Linked DNA regions of Drosophila melanogaster. The protein of the gene in region 2 purifies or fractionates together with the protein of the main gene of each other region. This does not show direct contact. Each region holds a gene or a part of one and is shown on either strand. Other genes may lie near its edges.

What was found. Proteins that work in one complex are often made in the same cells at the same time.
Region 1: the proteins of eEF1beta (region 2) and CG2736 purify together in Drosophila melanogaster (affinity purification with mass spectrometry, with the first as the bait; one large-scale study listed by BioGRID). This does not show direct contact.

Annotation. Positions count from the first base shown.
Region 1 is NT_033778.4:24,972,167-24,978,309, forward strand, and holds CG2736 (uncharacterized protein), read right to left. Parts: upstream 3,176-6,143; 5' UTR 3,093-3,175; coding exon 2,481-3,092; intron 2,419-2,480; coding exon 2,016-2,418; intron 1,950-2,015; coding exon 1,699-1,949; intron 1,642-1,698; coding exon 1,384-1,641; 3' UTR 1,265-1,383; downstream 1-1,264. Other genes in the region: emp (epithelial membrane protein), read right to left, coding at 4,914-5,294, 5,353-5,474, 5,533-6,104.
Region 2 is NT_033778.4:16,866,593-16,871,745, forward strand, and holds eEF1beta (eukaryotic translation elongation factor 1 beta), read left to right. Parts: upstream 1-1,629; 5' UTR 1,630-1,719; coding exon 1,720-1,799; intron 1,800-1,898; coding exon 1,899-2,487; 3' UTR 2,488-2,688; downstream 2,689-5,153. Other genes in the region: Psi (P-element somatic inhibitor), read right to left, coding at 1-654, 734-805; CG6426 (uncharacterized protein), read left to right, coding at 2,929-3,010, 4,678-4,848, 4,919-5,151. UniProt on the Drosophila melanogaster protein: EF-1-beta and EF-1-delta stimulate the exchange of GDP bound to EF-1-alpha to GTP.

The sequences.
Region 1 (6,143 bases), 8.1 Mb from region 2:
ATAGGAAAAACATTGACGTACGTGAAAATTGAAATTTACATGTTGATTTTGCCAGTTGGTTTTAGTGGCTCCGAGACTCACAGCTGCTGAATCGGCTTGGATCAGCTTGGAGTTGGGTGTCCAACTCTTTCCCGACATAACGACCGCATTTGGTAGTGCTAGAGTTGTTGTCGCTGTGTTGTAATCACTTTTATGCATTTCCATTTCCCTTTTAATTATCTTTGGCGTCATGAATCGCACGCACCAGTCTAGACTGAACCAGATTTCGAAAGCTCATCGGTCGGGGCGAGAGTTATTGGGTTTTGTTTTGGCGTAGCTCGACCGATTCCAACTGGTCTGCCTTAGTAATTGGGATTTACCCCTGTCCAGGTGGACAATTCGGACAGCTTGCTGGGGGTTTTAAGGCGACCACCATTGGCGGTCGTCCGCACTTGGAACTGATCTCGCTAATGGAGCGCGGTGCAGCCCGAAATTACTAGTATGGTGGGGCAAACAATAATTGGCCATAAAGCCAAAATACACTTCATACCCTCGTATAATTATGAGCATTTTACGACTCTGACGCAGGCGATTCTACTGATTGGCTGGCTCGGTGGATCAGCTCCGCTCCGTCTCGTCTTCGAGGTCAATAAATCACCAGCGCTGACTCTTCACCTGTGACATAACTCTCGTGCCAATTAAACAAACAACTTTTAGCTTGTCCGCGGTGATTAACATTTAAATTGGGGCATCCTTAGCCCCGAGCGCTGGGGGTTCGTATTGATTTATGTAAATCGCGAGAGTCCGATCGGAAAGGAAAAAAACTCCCGGACGCTATGCGCGGCGGAGGGCTTAACGGGTCCAACAGGTCCCAAGTTGCCGAGGGGCCAAGGGTATCTTACCTTGAAGTCGGACAGGGCATCAGCACTGAAACCAGGGAAGATCATGCGACATGTGCAAAAGTTCAGGTTCAGGAAGGAGAAGGAGAAGTAAGTAAGGCAAACAAAAGTAAACAAACCACAAAATCCACAACGGCGGCTCAGAGGCTGAAGAAATACTAACAATAAAAAGTAAATGCACAGATTGTATAAAACGCAAAATAAATCTTCAGTACGTGCCCAAGTTTTCAGTGTCACGCCGCACGGCATAAGAGGCGGGGCGAATCAAACAGAGCCGCGACCTCAAATTGCCTGGTTGGCGACGAAGGCGGAGGCGGCAGAGGAGCGCTTGGACCTGGCCGTCTGACTGGCTGACAGATAAGGTGAAATGAGGCACATTCAATTTTCCACTAAATCGTATATTGCGTAACGGCGGACTACTGATAGTTCATCAGTAGCGACACCTCTACCCTAAATCTAAATCTTGCATACATATATACACGGGTCCAGTCCAGAAAGTAAATCACTATTTGACTGCCACGTCGGGGGAAGCACTAGTGGCCTGGAACTTGGTCTCTAGAGCGGTGACCGTGCCCAAATCGCCACATAACTTCCGGAAGAGGACCACATAGCCGAGGTCGCCGCAGGCCACTCGAATTGCCTTTAGGACACTCCACAAGGCCAGGACCAGAAAAAGAACCATGCAATACGGCTGTATGTGTTGGACAATGTTGACGTTGATCCACATAAGGGAGGTCACGAAACCGGGCAGCTGTCCCATTTCCTGAGTGGGACTAGAGAGTAATCATATGCACTCCTATTGCAGCGGGAAAGTACTTACGAACTCATACCAAAAACTGGGAATCATCATGTTGCTAAACCGGCTTAGGCGTGAGCTAAACCTCCTGAGATCCGGAATAGGAATGTTGGACTGGAAGCGGTATTTCTCCGTAACCGGAATACCAGTGACCGGCTCCAGCAAAATGTATGGCTCGTGATCCTCGGCGTTGGGTGTGTATCCTTCGTAGTGCTGGCTCCAGTTGTAGCTGCTTCCGTAAAAGTGTGGCATCGAAAACGCAGAGGGGGCGTCATCTTGGGGGTAAGAATGTGTTCGATTTACCTTAGGAAACCTGTCGTTTTAGGGACGTAGAGCCGTACTTATCACACACTGGGATACGTCAAACATTCCGTCGGGTAGCTTGACACCGTAGCTTGTGTCCAGGCAGCCGGGAGGCTTTTGATGTGACTGAAGCAGAGTGTAGCGGAAGGTATCAAGGCCGTTGTAACGCTCCTGACGCTGGTAGGTCAGCGGAAGGACCCGGCAGGACTCGATAGCCACTATGCTCAGCGGCGTATCCGGCTGGACAAAGGGAGGAAAGAGAGAGTTGTCCAGCGCTCCGGAAACGTTAAAGGGGCAAGAGTTGGAGTCGTACTGACGGGTGTGCGGAAGTTGTTCCCGGATGATCACCTCGCCGTTAAGCGTCTCGATGCGGAAAAAGTTTTCAATGCCGCGCTTAGGGCCGATGTTGACTGTGTAAACCTCTTCCTTCTCTTTGAGAGCCTGCGGAAAAAATCTTAGCGGGGAACCAACAAGGAAGTCTTCAGGATAGTCAAGGGGCTTACGTTGTAGAGAACAGCGACGTTGGGTCTTATGTTCGAGATCCTGGAGAGCGTTTGCAGCAGGGGACGGGTGAACTCCCACAGGAAGTAGTATACGCTGTCTGTAACAAATATATCCTCCATCATGAGCGCTGCATCAAAACCGAAGGCTGCAAGTGGCGCCGTATGCTTGACTTTCGTCGCTGCGCCCAGGATAACGTTGTTTGTGGAGGTAATGGTCCAGTTAAGGACGTCGGGTGCTACGCTTTCCTCCGGGAGGAATTCCACTACGCGGTATCTGTGCTTGCGATACCTAACGTTGGTCTCGTTGCGATCTAAGATGTCGTTGAACCCCACGATTCTGTACACAATGGGGCCGATCTCCTTTACCTTAAGTCTGCTATCACGACCGCTGCGAAACTCCTCGGCGTTGGTCACGTTGAACACATAGTTTTTCAGCTTCCCGAATGGCGAGTTTATCCAACTGTCCATGGTGGGCATCTCCTGGCGGAAGCGTATATGCTCCCTAGCTACCAAGATGCGATAGTCCACTCCCCAAGACACCACGAAGAGGAATACATTGACGCACGCAAGGATCAGGCAAAGCAATATTTTCACCCACTGAACCGACTTCATTTTTTACTAAGGGCGGCTTTGACGGAAACCAGAGACGGGAGTAAATCGCGTCCGATCGAGGGAAAACACGCGATCCGTTTGAGTTAAATTCTAAGCGCTTTCGGCAATGGCCGTGCAATCACTTATCATCGAATAGCAGAAAGGTTATCACCAAAGCAGCGGTGCTTACTCTGCCAACACTGGAAATAACGGTGATAACGGCGGACCTCTAACCCGAGCATAGAAAATGGCCATAACGCAGATTGCCCTCCAGGGAGGAGGCACTACTGCACAGACTCCAGAGATGCCCGTCTTCCCGGATGGACCTCACCGGGATAGCATCGACCTTGATCGGGAGCAGGTGTTAATGACCAACCATTGAACAGGCGACTCTGCCCTGGGGTTTTGGCAAATTCGAGCTTATCAGGCACAGACAGATCACTCTGCTCTTATCGGTCCCGCGGGCAGCGAAACGTGCAACGAAACAAATGACTCGCCATTAACGTCTGTCTGATCCTCCCTGAGCTCGGAATCTCGTATTTATAGCTAATATTGCCATTACTATGCTTCAGAATCCGGTCTGGTCCATCTACGAAGTGCGATGTGAAAATTGAAAGTGAAAGTACTATAAATTTAATATAAAGGTTAATGGGTGCCCTAATTTTAGGTCGTAAAAATTAATCTTTTAATGTGACATGTTATAAACTATCGAAATGATGTAGCAGCCAATCCATTCATGACCATTTATTTAAGAAAGGGACTTACAGGAGATCTCATACTAGCATTTTAATGGTGTTGATTTGGTTATATATATATATAAATATATATATATATATATGTTTTGCAGTTTAAATGTTGCAGTACACGTTTGAAACAACTTTATATTATTAACTTCCCTGGTTTGAAATTTCTTGGTATTGCATACTTTTGGGATTGTGCACGAAATTCATAATTTAGGCCACCTAAAATTGTAGTTTTAAACTATATTATAATTCAATGAGGTGAATTATAATATAACTTAGTTATATACCATTCTGATAACCATTTATAATACGTAGTAACGTGCTTTTTATGAATGTATCCCCGACAACCATACAGAATTATTTTTCCGTGCAATTGGAAATTAAGTTTGTCATTCATCATTCTGGATAGGAACGAATTGTAAAAGGCACATCAATCATATATATGTACACATGTATATGGATTCGAGAAGATTACGGCCAATCTCTAATTATAATATCGTGATTTATTGTACACATTAATGAATATAAATTGTACATTAGATCGATAAAGTTATGTATTTATAGAATATAAATTTCATATGCGGAACATGCCCAGCATTTGGTCTTATAAAGCACATTTGTATTCGAGGACGGAATTTTGTTTTATTTGAGAAACGTTTCGAGTTTTGTGACTTGATTGTACATACAATTTCATTTCAAGAGGGTTTAAGAAAGCAAGAACAGGATCGATTGCTGTTTTGGTATAACAAATATTGTCTAAGTCGAAGCTTTGAGCCTTTAAGCGATCACGACTGTTTCGTTAGACTACACTTCAAAATTTTTATAACGCTTACTTACACAGATAACCTACATACAATACAATAGATACAGATACACATACAAATACATACAAGTCTTCCCAGCTCCATTTCTTTTAAACTACATAGAAGCACATTCCTCCGCGGGGAATGGGATTAACATAGGGAGGTCGGATTGGGTATCGTTATAGGGATTGGGGGTGGAAGTGGAAGTGGGCAGGTCCCAGTTACTAGCTACGGCTTATACTATTACGAAGTCACCCGAAGACACTCGTACTGCGACCAGACACCGACTAGAGCGCCTAGTATCTGGCGGGTTGGTTATCCTTGTTCTGCTTCTTGTTCATGTCCACCTGGGCGGTGGCCAGATAGTTGGACCCCTCCAAGTGCAGGGTGCTTTGCCGGTGCGAGTTGCGGATCAGGCAGAAGGTCGAAAGCAGTAGTAGGATCACACCAAGCGCGCATAGACCGACGATTAGCGCCACGCGGATCTTAGGTGGCACTTGCTCCGCAAAGCGCATCAGGTCGGTGACCTCGTCGGGAAGGTTGTCGATGCCCTCCTCGAACCAAAGGATGGGAAAGATGATGTCCGGGAAGTTGGCTACCTGCTTGATGTCAAACACTTGGCTAACGGCCAAATTGATCTGGATACGGGCGCGTACTCTCAAGGTAGTTCCCATTTTCTGCGAAAAAATGTTGTAAGTATACGTCTGGGAGATAGATCTTTTTATTGGGTCTTACAGGCTGAACGTCGAAGAAAAACTGATGCTTCTCTTTCATAGGTGGCGAAATACCTTCTACTTGCGTCCTCAGGCTTTCATCGGCCAGGTAGAAATGAGGGAAGCTTAGCATGATGGGAGAGTCTGCAGAGAGCGTTACTTTTGAATTTGATCGGTAATGGTATCCCGCATTCATTCTTACCGTATTGACACAACGACACGTTGAAAAGTCCGTTGGGGGAGCATGACGGCTTGCCCGCGGGACAGAAGCACATGTTGTCCGGGTGGCTGTCCACATCGGCGAAAACCCACTCTGGTGGGGTGAACCGGTATCCAGGCACCTCGTTTGAAGTCATTACTTCTTTCTCAAACACCAAGGGCAGGAGCCGGCAAAGATCTTTGTCGTAAACATGCAGGATGCGATCGTGGTCAATGTGTGGGGGGAAGATGGAGCCATCGGTTCCGGCCAAAGTATTGCATGCGTCGGTGGTCCAATGGGGTAAATGGGTGCGACCGTTGAAGTTGTCAATGATGCCGTATCTCCTAATGTCATCGACACCTGTGTTCACAGTTACTCGGTCGGAGGAGGTGCCGTTCTTGCCATACAGCAGGCCAAACTCCTCGTAGGGCAGCTTTTGCTCCTTGGGAACGACATCCTTCGCTAGCTTGAGCAGAGGATCCTCGTAGCCCCAAAGCAACTGACCCACGGACACCTGAACGAATGGCTTGATCTTCAGTATGTCCATGATACTGGCCATGGCTAGACGCAAGAATCTGAACCAAGAAATTCAGGGTTAATAATGGGGACACACT
Region 2 (5,153 bases):
TCCGGTCTTCTCCTGCAGCTGTTTAATGGTATCGCCGCCCTTGCCAATGACCAAGCCCACCTTGGCGCCCGGAATCATGATCTCCTGGTAAGGTGGATACCCGCTAGGTCCCGGTGGCGGCATATTGATCGTCAACAGCACCTCCACCTGTCCCCCGCCAGCCCGATTGGCCATGTTCTGAATCATTTCGCGCCCCTTAGTGACTGTATCCCTTTGACCACGCAACATGATAACGCGATCTTGATCCTGCATGACCTGCACTTTTACACCGGACTCGGCCTGGATGTGGGTGATGGTGTCGTTACTGGAGCGACCCATAAAGGCGCCGGCTACCGATTCGGGCAGACGGATCTGCTCCTCACAGCTTGTTCCCGCCGAGGCGGCCAAACGAGCGGCTACCGCAGCAGCCTGGGCGATTGCCTGAGTAATACTGGCACCGCCGGGACCTCCGCCGCCGCCACCACCACCCCCGCTACCGCTGCTCATGTTGGAGCTGTTGTTGGCGTACTCCGGACTGCCCAAGGAGCGTTTGGATTCCGGACCGCTGTCGCCGTCGTCGTTGATACGCTTAAAGCCAGGCCCTCCACCCGAAGACGGTGGCGATGGACCCGCTGTGCCGCCGCCCTGCTGGCTGGGCTGGATCTTGGCTGCGATCTGGTTTGGGGATTGGGGCAAAAGAAGCCGAATCAATGCCCACTTCCGCTTCTTCCTCTTCCAAGTGGTGGGAACTCACCTGCTTGGCACGCTGAATTGCCTGCGCGAGTGCCTGCGATTGATTGATGCCTTGTTGCTGGAAGTCGCTCATAGTTCTGGGTTTATAATAGGTTCAATTCGGTTCTTTATGGTTACCACTTGTTTTTTTTTTGTTCTGTTTGACCGCACGCGTTGAAAATTCAATAGCCGAAAGCGACGATTTTTTCACAAATGCTGAGGAAATACTATAAACGCTTCCTATGGCATTTGTTTAAGTGGCTTTCGAATGTCTACTCTGCCTTATTGTTGAGCCGTTTTTTTCATGCGCTTCTACGTTTTTTTTTTTAATTTTTCTTTCGGCTTTTCAGTGAAAATTATGCGTTTGCAAAAAAATTGTGTAGCATTATAGCTTGATTGGAGGCGTTTTTTCACCCTCATGATTTTCACTGCAACGGTAACACTGCGCATAAGATATTCACGGTTTTAGTCCGCGCTTTTGGTATATTTGTGTTAAATTAAATATTCAATGACTTATATGAATTTATTTGAAAGTAAAGGATCTACTTAAACTTAATTTCTATTAAGCCCAAGCTCCCAATTTGTGTGAATTTGCCCAAGGAAATGCATATTGTTTTCACAAGTTACAAAGTAGAAGCATACAATTTCTATACAATTTTTTTCCTTTTCAGAATATTAAATGTAATTGTTTGGCCTTAAATTTACGTAGCCAATAGCTAGCTTAAGTATAAGGTATTAATTATAATCCTTATGTTTTATTAAAAAAAATACAAGTAAGCGTTAAAAATCTATTTGAATGTATGGTATATTTGAACGATATTTACTCAAACTCCGGGTCACCCTGTGTTGCAACTACTTGAAATACTAGGAAAAAGTCAGTATTTTCATTATATGTTTAAAGACCGTTTCCCGCGAAGGTCACTCTGTTCTTCTTTCGTCGGCAACGTTGCGCAGAGCACGGCTCCAGATTTGTTAAACGCGAATTTACCCCACAAAAACGCATTTAAAATGGCATTCGGTGATGTGACCACCCCGCAGGGACTGAAGGAGTTGAACGCCTTCCTGGCCGACAACAGCTACATCAGCGGGTAAGCACGCGTCATTAAATGTGAGGTTATGTACGACCTCACCACGTCGGCAGATGTATTGATCGAATAATTTTCTACCCATTACTATACTCCCATTAGATATACTCCCAGCAAGGCCGATCTGTCCGTGTTCGATGCTCTGGGCAAGGCCCCCTCTGCCGACAATGTGAACGTGGCCCGCTGGTACCGCCACATCGCCTCCTTTGAGGCCGCTGAGCGTGCCGCTTGGTCGGGTACTCCTCTGCCCCAGTTGGCCGGTGGAAAGCCCACAGTGGCTGCTGCTGCCAAGCCCGCCGCCGACGATGACGACGATGTGGATCTATTCGGATCCGACGACGAGGAGGACGAGGAGGCCGAGCGCATCAAGCAGGAGCGAGTTGCCGCTTACGCCGCCAAGAAGTCTAAGAAACCCGCCCTCATTGCCAAGTCGTCGGTGCTCCTCGATGTCAAGCCCTGGGATGACGAGACCGACATGAAGGAGATGGAGAACAATGTCCGCACCATCGAAATGGACGGTCTGCTGTGGGGCGCCTCCAAACTGGTCCCAGTCGGCTATGGCATCAACAAGTTGCAGATCATGTGCGTCATCGAGGACGACAAGGTGTCCATCGATTTGCTGCAGGAGAAGATCGAGGAGTTCGAGGACTTTGTTCAGTCTGTCGACATTGCTGCCTTCAACAAGATCTAAACATCTGAGATTCTTATATTAACAATAAACTTGAGCAAAGCGAACTAAGCAAATATAGTTGTCTTCATATTTAAATAAAATATTTCACATGAAAGCTGCAATAAGCCAATCATAATTCAGATTGTAAAAACACATCAGTTTTATTGGAATAATGATTGAAATTTTGTAATTTTCACCAAAAAGTATACTTTTATAATCGGTAAAAATCTCTAATCTCTTTAGTTGGCTTGCTGGCTCTCTCAAGTTCTCAGCTTAAGTCTTCCGTTTTGAAGCTTTCGGCGAGCTTTTGTCAACAAAAAAGCGAAGCTCGTAGCACTTTCAGCTCAGTTGATCGGGCAGCTCGATAGAGGTCGGTTGTTTACAGATAGTTGTGATACTGTTCAGTGACTTTTCAAATTGCATTTGCAAACAAATATTTTTCGGACACAAGTACTGCTTATAATGGCTGCCAACAAATTGTGCTGCACTTTGGCTATTGGCGCTCTTTTGTGTCTGGGATTCGCAGCCCTCATTCAAGCTCAGGGTGAGTTAAATACATCGAAAACTATATATTTACATTATATAGGCGAGAACATTTCCGTTCTTGTTATTGTTCGCGAGACGTATTTGTTACGCATTTGCTGAGATTTGCTTTTAACACGAAATATACAAATACCTGATCGTCTGCATTCATTAACATTAATTAGCAATTGTATAGATATTTGAGTCTTTTGTTCTGCGCCAAGACATGTTTCGTTCTTGAGCGGATTTCCCAGATATATTTATCCATCCATCGTGTTTGTCGCCATTTGCATACGACAAGTATCTGGAGGTTGACAAACGTCCATTTAAACTCGGGGATTTCTGATCGGTTTCAGATTCCATAATCGACCATCCATCATCTAAAACACGGGCCGTTGACATCGTTAGTTTTCAATAACGCATCATTGCCATTGAAATTACTTCCGATTAGTATACATCTATTACATTGGCGGAAATTAATTGGTATTAAGTTTGAAAATCATCTATTAATCGTTGGCAGTAATTTGAAGTGAACTCTTTGCTTCTCTGTTTAATAAATTAATTGTCTAAATGGGTAATTAGCAGAAATCAATCAGTCGTTATTTTTGCATTATTCGCGAAAAGGATGTAGTTTTACTGGAGATTTCCCCGAATCCGGAACAGTATTTTGCGGTGCACATCGGTACTCCATTGTTAGACCTCAAAAAATCCCACTTTCGTGACAATTTGCTGCGTGTGGGTTATCTCTGGGTCAGGAAAACCCCGTGAAAAGGTGTTTATATAAACTAAAATATGCACTGATATGATATGTTTTAGAAAGGTGGAAATATATAAAAGGTCTTTAATCTTGACCCAATTTTTATGCCTTTGAAGATTACTTTGCATAGGTCACTGAACTCAGAAACCTCAGAGTTTTGCTCGTGTGTGTGGGTGAGCCAGAAGGCTAGATGACATGCTGTGCTTCACGCTTCTTTCGATCTTTTCGCAAAATTGGCAAAATGCCGATACTCGTTAAAAATACAAAATTTAATTACAAGAACAAGGTCTTGATAACGCCGATTAATTGACTCATCCTCGCCTACGCGCTGCCAGATTTTGTTCTACGGAGATGCTTCAATGTTTCCATTGAAAGTTGCAAAACTAGTTCGATACAAAATGGGATGGGAACGTGAGGCCGATGGATTTCAGGTTCATGGGCGTGCAAGCAACGGAATTGCTTTTCGTTTCTTGGATATATTTTATAATTTTATTGAATTTTTGAAATTTATGAACCCGCTCGCACCGGGGAAACACAGATAACACACTAGGATTAGTTTTATTGTAGTACCTGTTGTTATTTTACACGGAAATCTCTTCGGTTGGAATTTATAATAATGAACGTAAGAAATTTTAAAAGAATTTTTAACAAGTTCAAGATAAGACACCTAAACCAAATTGGTCAACTGGATTTTTTGTTTAATTAGTTTCCTACTACTTTTTTCTGTGAGCTGCTAAAATTTCAAAGTCTTCAACTTGTTATAACTCTTAAAAATTCAAAACATTACCAAATGCTCTGAATAAAGCGATGACATGATCTGGGCAAATCTGCACTGCTAACGCTCTTTTGAGGCTAATCTGGAAAATAAAATAAAAATAAAAATGAACTGAACTGATTTGATTTGATTTGAATGATCTTTAAACCCGAAACAGATAAGCCGGTGACTGATGTGTGCCTGGGATGCATCTGCGAGGCCATCAGTGGATGCAACCAGACACGTTACTGCGGCGGCGGAGTCTGCGGCCTGTTTCGCATCACCTGGGCATATTGGGCCGACGGCGGCAAGCTGACCTTGGGCAACGAGAGTCCCCAGTCGGAGGATGGTGAGTGTCCCATCCATTACCTATGCAATAAACCTTATCATACATCTGATGCACATTAATCTCGCTGCAGCGTATGCCAATTGCGTGAACGATCCCTACTGCGCGGCCAACACGATCCAGAATTACATGACCAAGTTCGGCCAGGACTGCAATGGAGACAACGCCATCGATTGCTACGACTTTGCTGCCATCCACAAGCTGGGCGGCTATGGATGCAAGGGCGAGCTGAGCTACCAGTACCAGACGCAGCTGACCAACTGCCTTAATTCGTTCCAGCAGATCGACGTGCGCTCTAGCATATAAAC